Linked DNA regions of Lytechinus pictus. The protein of the gene in region 2 binds, or shares a complex with, the protein of the main gene of each other region. Links are inferred from orthologs where the notes say so. Each region holds a gene or a part of one and is shown on either strand. Other genes may lie near its edges.

Region 1 (6,964 bases), on a different chromosome or scaffold from region 2:
TTAACCTTAGTTTTACAGACTTTCTCATTAAATAATAAGTGTTTACTGCAACTACTTCATTAATCTTTAATAATAATTATGGATATTTCAGAAGTGCTAAAAATTGTTGACATGGTGCGTAAAACTACAATTTAACAATAAACAATAAACAATCACAATCATTCATTCAAAAAAAATAGAGAAAAGGCAGATTTGAAGAGGGATGGTCTTGGCAGCTACTGCAGCAAAACTTTTTTTCAATAAATAAGAATTTCAACTTACAAGGGAATGAAAAATTTATGTGTCGATGGTTGAATGGATATTACAAGACAGTGTGTCTATTTTAAGTCATCCTTGCTAAGCTGATAACAACAAAATGGAAACATCTCATATTTCATATAATTATTTACAAAGGAAATAGTGAGTACATCAGTCACAATGCCATTTCCATGCCAGCAAGTCATGAGAACATGTATATTTGTGAAGTTTAACAAAACTTTGAAATGATATAACTTTCATATTTTAAACTCATAACGATGAAATATTCAGTTTTGGACTTGTTTGACTCTTTTCTATCTCTTCGAGTCAACTTTTTATCGGTGTGGGCTTGACTCTTAAATTCATGCTGGTTTACCTTGATTTTATCTCTAATGTGCCTCAGAGATTCAGCCGTGCCCCAATCTTCATCATTGGGGATGGTTACAATGTCCAGCTCCAGCTTGGTCTCACCACATGATTTCAACTTCTGTCGTAAATCCTTCCCAAAAGATTCAAGTGTGATGATGATCACCCCTGTCAGAATGGGTGCAAAAGAGATTCAAATGATCATTATTCTAAATAATAATAAAACATTATGCTCTGCATTTTATAGGTTATCTACATCTCTTAGGAGCAGTTTACTTCTCCCAAGTCATACCTATACAATGTTTTCAGATACATATATTTCCTTTATTTTTTACTAAACACATATTCATGAAATGGATGCATCATTTATATCATAAGATTAGTGTGGTTGTGTGGTTAGAGCATTGGACTCATGTTTGTAAGGTTGTGAGTTCAAATCCCAGCTAGACCAATATCTGTCATCTTTAAAATCAGCCCCTATGACTGATAACCTTTGACATAAATGTTTTCATATGTACTTGTTTATATACCAGCTTGGTGTGATGCGGAGGAGAGCTGCTTTGCCGATTTCCTACGGATGTTACTTCTACAGAAATAAGTCTTGCTTTCATGAATACAAAGAGCCATTTTATACCATTAGTAATTTTTATAATACCTACAGTACCAGTCACAATTCGTTGACTATCAGTTTACCTGTTTCAACCAGAGAACAATAGATTCAGTGGACCGAATCTATTGTTCTCTGGTTGAAACAGGTAAACAGGTAGTCAAAGAATTGTGACTGATAGATTGTGACCGGTAGTGTATTGTATCACTGTTATTGCAATGGTGGGATTTCAAAATGATCACTTCATGAAGTCCATGTACTTACTTTCAAAGCCAGCCTTCTCCAGCATATTTATCGGATACCAAATCATAGGGTGGTTGCCAATTGGAAGAAGTGCTTTGGGGATGTTGTTCGATAGGTCTGTCATCCTGGACCCTCGGCCAGCGGCCATGATCACCGCCTGGAACTCCATGTTGAATCTTCTCACGCAACTGCTCAGCCAGAGAATGACATGAATGGTGGGAAGGAAGGAGTTGATTACAGAAAAAATAAAAATGCTGCGAGGATATGGATGTTAATAAAGCAATTATGAATAAAATGTAGATCTAATATTCAGTGCATGATTGTGAGGTGATGCATTGCCTTTTTAAAAAGGTATTCCATTATCTATGCTAGCTCCCTGACATGGATGGTCTTCACACATTACAAAGCCAGAAGTCAAAATCAATGAACCTGAAATTTAATTAACCAAACACAAGAACCAAGTATTTTGGCTCGGTTCGGCAAAATATTATTCAGTTTAGAGTCCTGAGTAACCTGCCCATGATTCAACATGTTCAGCTTTTCTGCAATATATTTGTTTTATTTAAACTTTCTTTTCACAGAAATAAATTTACATCGAATGTTTTTTTTTAAATCCGAGTTAAACTGCCGCATGCTCTGGAAATATGGCAGAAATTTCACACTGTTAAAGGCTAAATTTGACTTTTCATTTTTTCAAAGGGATTTTGGAGTTACTTAAAACATGGCTTTTCCGGTGATAGGTGAGTTATTATAATAATTATTTTTAATCACATGTTGACTTTTAGTATTTGTTAAATAATAATTTTTATCACTAAATTGTTCAATTCAATTTCAAAACGGCATTTTACATTGCTAATCGAAGGTACATCATAACGAAGCGGTTAAAGGATCACACCTATTGTAATTGCTTTGTTGAAAAACGGATCGAGGGATCTACATGAGATCGGTCTGGCAAGACACCTTCAATTTTTCACCTTTTTGTTATGCATTAGGCGCGGCGTATGAAGTAAAAATAAATAAAATCACAAACATTTATGTGATTTCTATCTATTAGTAGAAAGCTGGATTTCCTAGGGAAATCCATCTTTGTTTTGATGTGTCTCTTATACATATATGGGATGCGGTTCAATGCTCCACGATGAAGCAGTATATGTCAAAATATTAAAAAATATCGGAGTCCTCACTCCTCACGGCTAGGTAATCGGCCGGTGCGAAACTGCATTAGCGCCCAAATATCCAACTACTTAACGGTACATAAAAGTCAATAGATGGGACACATGCCAAGACCAGGACTTTGTTTCCCACTCCACCATATTTTCGACCACATCGTTTGTTTTGAATATTGAAACAGCAAAAAAGCTTTTAAAAAATGCGAAAATTGATCTAAATACACATTCCTGAGCTAAAAATTTCCCAAAAGTATTCCCATATTATCAAAAGCAAGAAAATATACCACTGTCTTACCTCAGACTCCGTCGGAAATCTCGCTAAATTATTCGACCATTAATGATAAATTAGGGTGTTCTTGACGCGGCGCAGCAAATGGGAAAAAATCGATCAGGCAACTCAAGAGCTGCATACAGAATAATTTGTCGACACTCATGAATAAAAACAAAACACAAAACAAAACAGTATATTCAGCGATAAAGCGGAGAGCATGCCAAGCGGAGTTAACGGGGGGGGGGGGGGAGACTAGGAGAGATTCCGGATAGTCCTACCTGGCAGGATGGCTTGCTCCTCTCAAAGCTAGAGACATAATTACAAATTTTGAAATAGATCTACATACTCTCAATAGAAATATCACAAGGAGGCGTACAAGTATAAGATATTAACCGATCTTTACCATACACGATGAAAAGCAAAATAGATGTTAATTGTTGAAACATATTTCTTTTGTAAATCATGCCAATTTTCCTCCAATATGATTGTGCAACATAGTTTGACTCCTCATTGGACGTGTAAAATATCCCAATTATTGTCTTACTCAGTCAAAGGTGTCTCAATTTGTTATATACTTTCGTCCTTATTTGCATATTACCGTGTGTCTTTTTACCATAAGGAAATTGTCAATGTTGGGCTAATTTCGGTTGTATTAGACTTTTAAAGATAAAGTCTAAAGTTTCAGAAATTAGAAGTGATGGGTTTAGACTCTGCATGTGTGACATGGTTTAGATCATATTTATCTAACCGTCATCAGGTAGTTACCATGCAGACGGTTCTTTCTGATTCACTGCCTATTAAATGCGGAGTCCCTCAAGGAAGCATTTTAGGCCCCATTCTTTTTATGTCTTACATCAATGATATGTGTACTTGTATTAACGAATCTAAATTCATTTTATATGCTGATGATAGTGTCTTGCTATATTCGGATACAAATCCCAAGATAATTGATAAAAAACTTAGTGCTGATTTGGCTAATTGCATCGAATGGATGACTGACAACAAGCTTAGTTTACACGTTGGGAAAACGGAAAGCATTTTATTTTGTTCTAAACGAAAGTTAAGATATACACACGATTTCAAGGTTTCATATAATAATCAGGTAATTGAAAGAAAAGATTCAGTAAGATATTTGGGAATTAATTTAACAAGTAACCTATCATGGACGGGTCTGGTAGACTCAATCGCCAAAAAGGCTAATTCACGCTTGAAATTTTTGTATAGATATCAAACCTGTTTGAATATGAAGTCTAGACGTATTTTATGCTTTGCGTTAATACAATGTTTATTCGACTATGCTAATGCGGCTTGGTACGGTAGTCTGGGTGTTACGGATAAGAAAAAGCTAAGAATAATTCAAAATAAAATTGTGAGATATATAAATGTTTTAGGACCAAGAGCACATGTCGGATATAATGAACTTGAAAAGGCAGGATTGCTTCATGTAGATCACAGGTCACAACAATTAGTATTACACCACGTGCATAAAATATTCTATTCGGATAAATTAGATCATTATATAGCAAATAATTTCACCCGGGTATCAAATATCCATAGGTACGATACTCGAAATAGTAATTTTAATTTCGTATTACCAAAACGTGAAGGACATATTGGAAACACTTTTTATTTTAATGGCATCCAATCTTGGAATGCTCTTCCTGATAAAATAAAAGCCGTTAAATTCTTTTGTCAATTTAAGAGTGCATTAAAAAATCACCTAAAACTGGAAACTGCCCGAGAACAGCATTACCAGTAAAATAACACATTTTGTACAGTTGGTTTCTAGTATTGTAGATAATGTATACATTAGGGTATGTTAAAATATAATCTTGTTTCACATATTAGGAAGATTATTGTTTGCTTCAGATGTTTGCAAATTATATGACTGATGGATATGTTTGTATGTATTTTATTTTTTTCCCCCAATATTCCAGTACTTGTCGTAGTTTATATTTTTTGTTACAATATGTTAATGTTTTATACTAACTATAGGACCCCATTGGAAATAAGCCTTTCGGCTTTCATGGGCTATCCTGTCAAGGTATCTCCTCAATTTCATTGTAATCTCCTGTGATATTCTTGACGAATAAAATCAATCAATCAATCAGTCCACCCCAGAAAATTGTTGATTTGAATCAATAGAAAAAATTTCAAACAAGCAGAATGCTGAAAATTTCATTAAAATTGTTGGATTTTTCACTATTTTCATTCAAAGAACTTTTTGTTGGGATGGACTTGTCCTTTGATATGGTAAATTTGAATCAATAAACTTCGCGAATCGTTAATTTTAGTATAATGTTATCACCCTCCGCCCCTCTCCCTCCGTGTGAATCCCCCCTCCCCTTTCTGGGGGGGGGGGGGGGTCACAAAGACTTAAGTGTGACGAAAAACATGCTTTTGTCGTCAGCATGATTTGACAAATAAATGCGTTTTATAATTGCACGCTAAGTCACACTTTACTCTCTGTGAAACGCGCCCCCCCCACTTCCCCCGATTTTGTAAGCTCAGTCATTGTCCTCATGCCCGAGATATTTCATTTGCAGGACATTCACATTTCGACGGGGGTTTTCTGTGACTGTCGACGGCAGGTGCAGTCTCTTGCCAATTATCGACAGTCCAATGGCGGGGCAGTTCCCCGGCAACTCTACACCGGTTCTTGTAGAGTGTCCCGCTGCTTCAGAGCTATTTGCGCTATTTGAGATGGATGGGAATGTAGGTTAGGAAACATGGCAGGCCGGTCGTACGGTCGGTCGCGCCCGTTTAAACTGATGATGTCTGTGAAATTTTCTCTTATTATCTTTGGGCATGCTATGGCCTCTGAAATACAACACCATTGCAGTAGATTGGACAACAAGCAGATAATAGGCCCAAGCTCGTGCCCATGGGGCCCTCAATTCAACGAATCGGGGCCCCAACCAACAAAGAGGGTGACCAAATGGATTCTGAGCGCATGATGTGCGGGGGCAAAGAAACCTGCTCCTAATTTCCAATTAGCCCACTAAATTATAAACTTATCACTATAGATAAGCAACAATTATTATTGTATTTTGTTTTTAAGCGTTTTTAAAGCATAGGCCTAATCGGAGTAAATTGCATAAAAAATGAATTGATCGATGCTTTTAATTCTTGACATTAAAAAATATGTTTTATGTTTCTTCAAAGTGATGCAAGAAGAAAAACGAAGTCACAAGTCAAGTTAAAATATAGATTGACAATTCATGGAAATCATCACTTTAAGCAAAGGAAAAACAAAAACAACTAGAAAACACTTGTTTTCTCCTCTTGTTCAGTTAATGCTCTTAAAGTGATAAAAATCGTTATGTCGTACATGTTAAATTCCTTTTCAAATGAAAGACGATTACTACGACACTGGCTGTAATCGGCGTATAGCATTCAGTTGAGGCTCATTGTATCAATTATCTCAAATTATATCACAGACCACACATTCTTTGACATAATAATAGTTTGCTTTGATATTAAACTATCGGCTTCCATTTTGTGATTGAGAAGGCCCTCACCTAGTTCTACGTAGATGTTATTGACCTATTCAGATTGGCCTATATCCACGCATGGAATAATTTCTCATTTAGTCAAATGATTCGTTTCACGCACTCCCCCCATGAACGTCAAGATTAATGTACAAAGGACGTGAGATGAAAAGATGGGGATGGCCCGTTGAGGTGGGATGCGGATTCCGGGAGTTGGTATTTTTTTTACATGCAATAGGCACAAGCCTCCGTGATGTCATCGTAATGGATATCTAGATGCTTAACTTGTCAAACCAGTCAATGCCAAGAACAGAAATTTGTACATAATAATATTATCGGCATAATCATCATTGATGCCCTCATCGTCAACATCGTTGTCGTCGTCATCATCAGCATCATCATCATAATCATCACCATCGTCGTCATCATCAACATCAGCAGCAGCAGCAGCAGCAGCAGCAGCAGTAAACCCACTTCTACCACCAATATCACCACGATCACCACCGCCACCATCATCATCGTCATCATCGTCATCATCATAGTCGTCAATTCGTCATAAAAAGGACAGTCTTTGTGGACA
Region 2 (7,899 bases):
TTTTTGCAGAAGCTGGACGATTTTAAATGCGGAGCCTTTTCAGTTTATGAAAATAATCCGTTTTTCTTATAGTGCTTATCACATCAATCGGAATGACGTCTCTCTCATATTCGCTTCTTATGTATATTCTTACTTGCTTGTGTGTTTGTGTGTGTGTATATAATATTTTCATGAAATTGTTGATCTATGTATTCCGTGAGCAGTTAAGCGAATTTTACGATATTACAAATCTAAAATAGTTTAAAATATGAATTGCTTATTATTGTGTGTCAAAATAGATATAGATATAATGTAAAAGAAATCATCTTCAGTACCACCGAGTTTTCTAATGATTCATTACAATTTGAAACTGGAGTTCAACTAGCTGAAAAGTGACTGGTTGTTTGATTGACTGATAGATTGTTGATTAAGTGATTGATAGCTGAATGGTGATTGAATACTTGATTGAGACTGATTTATTGGTTTATTGATTAATTTATCGATTTATAATTAATTGATTGATTTTTGATCAAGCAATTGATAGCTGAATGCTGATTGCATTGTCTATAACACGGTAGTGATTATTTAGTGATAGGTTGTGATCGTGATCGACTTCAGATGGAGTGTCAAGTTAAAATTCAAGTTCGTCTTTATATATATCCATATTGAAAATTTGTTTTGAACACAGTTCTTTTCTAAGTAACATGACAAAAAGAGAGACTTATGAGGTAAATATATAGCCTGAGTAAAAATTATTTGCGTAGACAGAAAGTATTATATTAAAAATGCAACCTTGAAGCCAAATCGATCCTTTTTGTGTTTTCAATATCATAAAATTCAGGCGAGGTCTTAGCCCTTAGAAGGTATGCAAAGCGTCAATGCAAGATCGAGTAATGGAATTCGGAATGATGGATATGGTATGTGGTCTTCATATTTTGAAGGGATCGAGACCAATGAATATGGAAGATATAGTACATAAGCACACCCTGGAAGAAAGGGAAAGATGGAAGGAGAGAGGGAGAGAGAGAGAGAGAGGGGGGGGGAGAGACAGGGGGAGATAGAGGCGTATATATAGCCTTTTGACTGGGCAAACTTAAATTAAATGTGTGGGCCATTTTATAAGGAAGCCCCCTCCCCCCCCCCGTGGGCACATATGCACCGAATTTATGAAGATAAACTTAATGATAATAATGAAAAATCCAGATTGGGAGATATCTAAAACTTTGCTATATAAAAGTGGCAATCGGAGAAATTTTCCCCATATGACTCTAACGGGACTTGCACTGGCATAAAAATGGGGCGATTTTTTGGATGGTTGCCCCCAAAAAAGGTTTCAAAGACTTAAAATGAGGAGACAAGTAAGCAATTGAAGAAGAAAATGGTAAAAATGAAATTATTTTCTCGATATAAAATATGTCAAACTTTGTCACAATATAAGATTTCCATTTTAGATTGATATTGTTGCTAGCTCGCTTCCCTAGCTTGGGACTTTTTAGACCCCCACCCAGTACGCCATTATTCTGTCCGTCAAATTACGCAATGCTGATTTTTATGTTTTTAAAGGACAAGTCCACCCCAACAAAAAGTTGATTTGAATAAAAAGAGAAAAATCCAACAAGCATAACACTCAGTGGCGTAACTACGGGCGGGGGGCATGGGGGTGGGGGGGGGGGGGGTCGATCGGCTGGCCAAAAAAAAAAGGAGAAAAGAAAGAGAAACGTAGTGGGAAAGAAGAAATTATTGTTCTTTATGATTTTATCATTACTATTATGTAAACACAATTTGCTCAGGGCCTATGTCTTCATTGTTCCTGGTGCTCGTATTGTCTGTTTAACGAGATATATAATCCTGTTGTGCTAAAACCTTCCGTTTTCAAATCAATATACTCCAAACATATTTCCTCGCACTTCGAGTTATTATTGTTTTATGTAGTGACATATGCTTCTTTTTCATGACAACTAAAGCGATTGCCCCACTCTAAGGTCTTCAAATAAAACATTTCCTTCCGTGCTCACGTTTGCAATAGTGGATTGGTGAGGTATGTCTGATCTTCATGAATTCCTAAAATCAGTCCTTAATTAATGTCCCTTTTTCTGATCTGAATATCAATTAAAAAAATTTCAGCTCGCGCTTCGCGCTCGCATAATTTGGTTAGTGAAATGCGTATGGTCTTAGTGAATTCCTACAAACGAGCCTTAATTAGAATGTCCCTCTTCAGGTCTGAACTTCCTGAATTTTCAGCTCGCGCTTCGCATTCGCAATATTTGATTTGCGAGATGCGTATGAGAATCATGATTACAATGACTATAAAAAGTAATTCATGTGTTTAGATGTAGTTCTAGCAAAATCAGCAAGCGCTTGGCACTCGATTAGATGACTATGGTGAGATATGTATACTCTTAATGGATTCCTTAAAAAATAGCCCTTAAAATATGCCTGTATGGGGTAAATGTATACAAGTTCAGCTTGCGCTTTGCGCTCGCGTTGTTGTTTAGCGAGACAGGTACGTATCATAACAAAAATTAGCTTTAAAGGAGAATGAAACCCTTGAAACCAGCTGAATCCATATCAAAGAGAAAAATCAAAGAAACATATTGTTGAAAGTTTGAGGAAGATTGAATGAATAATAAGAAAGTTATGAGCATTTGAATATTGAGATCACTAATGCCATGTAGATCCTTCCTGTTGGCAATGCAACCATAAGATCTGTGATGTCACACACGTACAACTCCCTCATTACTTTAGTACTTATTTCCCTTATATTCTCACTTTTATAGAGTCTATCACAAGGTGAGGTGTTCTCTTTATGAGAGGACAAGTACAGAGGTTTCACAACATTATATCATTGATGAATCGTTTGTCATATGATTAGAATAAGCAAAAGGAGATGTTTTGGGGTATATTTTCAGCGTCCAAAAGGGGAGAGTTGTTCATCTGTGACATCATAGATATTGCTCGCATTGCCAATGGGAGGATCTCCATAGCATTAGTGATCTCGACATTTAAATGCTCATAACTCTTCTATTGCTAGTCCTATTTTACTCAAACTTTTGTTGATCTTATTCTTTGATTTTTCTGCTTTCACAAAAGCTAACTTGCTCCAAGAGTTTCATTCTCCTTTAATGTCTATTTTTAGGTCTGAATATCAAAAATTTTAAGCTTGTGCTCGCATTATTTGATCAGTGAGATACACATTCGTTTAATGGCATTGCGCCGTCCTTAAAATGTATTAGGTTAGTATACTCACACTGAGTGACTCAAAATTTTTGCTGGTGCCCCCCCCAATGCTGTGACCCACGGTACGCCACTGATGACACTGAAAATTTTATCAAAATCGGATGTAAAATAAACGATTAATTCCTCCCTGAAAATGCGGAATTAGCATTGTTTAATACTATATGGTTCCCTCAGTTAAGTTGGTCCTTATTGTCAAATCTATGAAAAATGAAATATTATATAATTCAAACAATAAAAAACAAAAGAAATAGTGAGTGATGGACATCATCGACTGACTGACCTAGTTGTGCATGTATATCACCGTGTTTTGTGAAAAATAAGCGAAATTTTAAAATATCAAAACTTTCTTATTTTACATCCGGCATGCCAGTTTGATTTTTTTTACTTATTAAAGTCAGCATTTTCCTGGGGTGGACTTGACCTTTAATAAAGTAAAATGGTAGAGTTAAAAAGGGAGAGATTATTGTTAGTATTATCATTAATTTTTTTTAATTATTGTTATATAGGTGGATCCAGGGGGCCAAAGCAGTCGCACTTCCCCCTATATTGGCGGGGCAAACTACAGGGAAGGGGGGGGGGGGGGGATTAGGCCATCGAATCAAATTGAGCATTTATCTCGCCCTTTGTGCTCGCATAGCCTAAAATAGATTTTTAAAATCTGCTCAAGAGGATAAAGGTAGGCCTATAATTATGTAAGAGTAAAATATTCATTCCAATGTAGCAGCTTATATAGTTGTCTAAATTATATATCACTAGACCTTGGGTATATTCAGGCAGTGATACAACCACCATGACCACATGACCATATAATAACAATACTTTAACCAAATGAAAACACCACCATCAGTGGCAAACAATAGATTCCCTCAGATTAATCTTCCTCCCTTCATTAGTTCGTCTCAATCCTTATTCATTACTCTTTGTTCCCTACATCTTCCAGACCTGTCCTTTGTTCTATTTCATTTAGTTGTCTACTCATGTACAGTCACAATAGATAAGTCCAAAGGGGTAAACACCTCCCCTCAGAGTATAAATTAGAGGTGCTTGATATTCTCTAGGTTCTTTCCTTAGTCTTCGGACTACTACTCCATAAGCTTGCGCTCCTGCCCTTTGAGGCCTTGATAGGGGAGTGCCCGAGTTCTCAACAAGCGACTGTTCATTTATATATATATATGTCTGCGTGATTAAATATCATCTGAACTTTATATACTTTGAGTTGGATTCCCTTATTGAAGTCTTACCACTAGCTAACACTCATCCATACCTACCACGCTACATTTAAAGAGTGTTACAATTATATGATTCCTGTTCATGATTGAGCGGTGCTGGATCGATATAAAAAAATTGATTAGTGAAATATATTTAGCTTCTTCAATGATTCAAACAAACTTGTCACAAATATGATTCTTTGAACTCAACTGGCACTTTTTAGGCATTTAGTCTATCGACTACTAGTATATGCGGCTCTAATCTAATGGTCCTTATTACAAAAAATATATATATATAAAAAATAGCTGAATTATTTGTCTTATGTATGGTTACATACTAAGTAAGTCGACTACATTACAATTGCTAAATTCAATCAAATATTGCATGAAATATACGGTATCACTGAACTAGAGATACGTATTTACGTATATACGTACATGTATTTCTAGTTCAGTGTACGGTATACGGTACGCGTAAATCTAAGCTGAACATAGCCAACAATCTTGGTCCTTACACGAATCTGTAGTGTAGCTGTCCATACGCGACTTCATCACCATGTCTGGCAAAAAAGCAAAGGGGAAATCCGACAATTCGTTGGAAAAGGAGGACGTTCTCCAAGCAGTTGTTATTGCAGATAGCTTCAATACTAGGTTTTCTCCTGTAAGCCTGGAAAAACCGCGAGTGAGTATCTGCTTATGCCTACAGATACAATAATTTTTGGTAGAATTTGTAAGCAGCTGGTGTGTGATGCGTGCGGATGCGGTACCGTATACGGTACGGTACCCGTACGTAGTAGCCGGCTTCAGTCCCCCGGGCTCGGGCCGTCCCGTCCCAGGTGGGCCGTGGGTAGACAGCTGGCAGCCGTCTGTTTCGAGGAGTTTTTTAACATTTTTTAATTTTTTTAATTTCTCCTCATACACAGACGGCTCGCTATCGTGCAGCCACCATTAGGGGACTTACAATGCAAAATCCCCCCGTCGGGGCTCTTCAATTTTTGTCTTTAATGAATCAAACTTTTGAAAATTAACGCGACCGAAATGCAAATTAATATTCCCTCTTGGCATTAATTGCCAAAAAACGGGGAAAATCAAGTTAAAAGGAACAAAAACAGTGACTTACCTCGGCTGTCGCACAACTTCACTGCCCTGTTTTATCCAAACTTAATACACATAAACATATGGCCATTGAGTCCCCTGTACAGATCGCGCTAGAACTTCGGTCTCTGTATTTGGTGAGTGAAGCCAACGGAGTTCAGCTGAACAACCAACATAACAGAGACAGACTGAAGCTTTTGGTCTAGGCCGTGGGTAGCCTGGGGCCCGTTTCTCAACACATGGACAAGTTACTTAGTCATATCTATATCCACCAACCACGGAGTTAGTTCCAATCTTACTAAACCTGTTTCTCGAAAGGCTTCCTAACTTATAGAATACCTTGATATCGATACTCGGTAAAAAGAGCAGACGAGACGTAGCCTTAGACTTTTAGTCACAAAATAGCATCATTTTCAAAAAGAAAAATTATGACAAAATTGCAAATATTGTGATGAATTGGGAAATAAATCTTTTCAAAATAATAGCACAGGTGAATTATGCATCATACATACTTAGGCCATGAAGACTGGACCATTCAACATGTTCAATAGCAGTGAAAATTGATTTATGAATAATTCATTTCATGACTAAAAAATCACTTGTTGTGGATGTTGAGATGGGTACCCCCGGGATATCAAATTTTAATAGTTTACGAAAGTAAACCATAACGATTTTCTATGTAAAATGATGATAATTATACGGTCTTTTATGACTCCGAAAGTCATCAAAATTATAGTTTAACGAAACATTTTTTAATAATTGATACCGAAACATACGAAATTTGACAAATTATATGCATAAATTAGAGATAGAATTATCCAACTGTTAATAGGGGTCTGAAAACAACTAATACGAGTTCAGTTATGGATGGCCTGACGTGGTAGAATCTTTATCGATTAAATCATTTTACTATTTCAAAATGAATGGTTCTGTGGCGTTTTGTTATTACCAACAGTTTTTATAGTTTCTTTGTATTACAATTATCATTGAATGCATTATCCCACTTGTTTTGTGATGTAATTTCAACCTCTATGATTGATTACGTAAGATTATAATTTGAAAATTTCTAGGCACTTTTGCATGTCAGTCTACCCACGTGATGCCATACGTCATTAAGAAAGAAGTTATGACAGGTTCGGAGGTGTCATAAATATTTAGTGAGGTTGTACCCGATCTTGGTAAAGAGGGCTTCGTGAAACGGTTAGCAGACAAGTAGCTCACTATCTCCGATTTAGTCAAGAAGTTAGACTTATGACGGTGTTGAGAGACGGGCCCCTGGAGGCGTCTGGGGAGTAAAATTATTTCTACTATACGTAGGCTTACTCCCCGTGCATATTGCATTAATGAACATGCATACCAACGAACGTAGAGGGCAGCAACACACTTCAGTGTTGCTGCTGTCCTCTACGTTCGTTGATGCATACATGCTACTAGTACGGGCGACCAAGCGTTCCATCACCGTAGTAACGTGATGTGCACGTGAATATTGCTTTCGCTATGCATGGAAATTTCCAGAACGAATTGCGCACAAACGCTGCTGGGAGAGCTGCATTGCGTAAGTAGTATGTAGTGTTGTACTTATAAATTTATTGTGGGTCCAATCTGGTAAGGTGTGCGATCGCGATCGGTAGGCTGGTTTCACAGAGCTTAATTTGTGCAATTCCTAGACTGGATTTTATAGATTGTATTATCAATTAGGATGCTTTTGGAACCAATTTTTTTATACTTTAAAACTAAGATTTCTCACCGAATTCACTGTTTTTTTCAAAACTGTGTTTTCCGCTTTCTACCCCGGTTTCCGCGATTTCCGCGGAAAATCCGCAAAGCGGAAAACTTAGGGCAGTATCTATGGGGAATGGTTGACTTTGATATCATTACACCTTGACATTCATATTCTATTAAATAACAACTCTAGTTACCTGCCATCCATGTAGGAACTCAGTTTCTAACCACATCTTTTCATTTTGTTTATGTTTGAAGGCATTGCTTCCTCTGGTGAACTGTCCAATCATTGACTACACGCTGGAGTTTCTTGCAACCAACGGTGTTCAGGAAATATTTGTCTTCTGCAGTTCACATTCCAACCAAATCAAACATCATGTTGAGTAAGTTTATTTTCTGATCAATTTTTGCAGGTTAATTTAATATTTAAAAAAAAATATCTTAAGAGCAGTTTGATAATCAAGTCACATTCAATATAATTTGTAATTAAACACAATCTCATTCTCATGTTGTCATAAAGTAGGAACAAAGTTGATATAATTCCACAAGGGGCTGTTTCATAAAACTGTAAAGTTACATATGACTTAACAAATGATAAGAATTTATGTGAAATGCTAAAATTTTGTTCTGAAGTTTTTCTTAAATTTGAACGAATTTT

Evidence for each region. Proteins that work in one complex are often made in the same cells at the same time.
Region 1: the proteins of translation initiation factor eIF2B subunit epsilon-like (region 2) and translation initiation factor eIF2B subunit gamma-like are in contact, whole or in part, in a cryo-EM structure (PDB 7VLK), measured with the Homo sapiens proteins. The link is inferred for Lytechinus pictus from reciprocal best matches to the Homo sapiens genes EIF2B5 and EIF2B3. Residues at the interface, in NP_003898.2 of Homo sapiens: Pro190, Val202, Arg222, Arg223, Phe224, Ala225, Phe226, Pro227, Leu228, Phe231, Gln232, Ser234, Ser235, Asp236, Gly237, Val238, Glu239, Val240, Arg241, Tyr242, Asp243; in NP_065098.1 of Homo sapiens: Arg155, Phe157, Glu178, Glu179, Leu180, Val181, Ile182, Lys183, Gly184, Leu187, Gln188, Pro191, Arg192, Ile193, Arg194, Phe195, His196, Thr197, Gly198.

What each region holds. Positions count from the first base shown.
Region 1 is NC_087255.1:19,408,465-19,415,428, forward strand, and holds the start of translation initiation factor eIF2B subunit gamma-like, read right to left. Parts: upstream 3,002-6,964; 5' UTR 2,918-3,001; intron 1,642-2,917; 5' UTR 1,623-1,641; coding exon 1,475-1,622; intron 772-1,474; coding exon 614-771; intron 1-613. UniProt on the Homo sapiens protein: Acts as a component of the translation initiation factor 2B (eIF2B) complex, which catalyzes the exchange of GDP for GTP on the eukaryotic initiation factor 2 (eIF2) complex gamma subunit.
Region 2 is NC_087249.1:3,461,801-3,469,699, forward strand, and holds the start of translation initiation factor eIF2B subunit epsilon-like, read left to right. Parts: upstream 1-4,890; 5' UTR 4,891-4,980; coding exon 4,981-5,106; intron 5,107-7,499; coding exon 7,500-7,624; intron 7,625-7,899. UniProt on the Homo sapiens protein: Acts as a component of the translation initiation factor 2B (eIF2B) complex, which catalyzes the exchange of GDP for GTP on eukaryotic initiation factor 2 (eIF2) gamma subunit.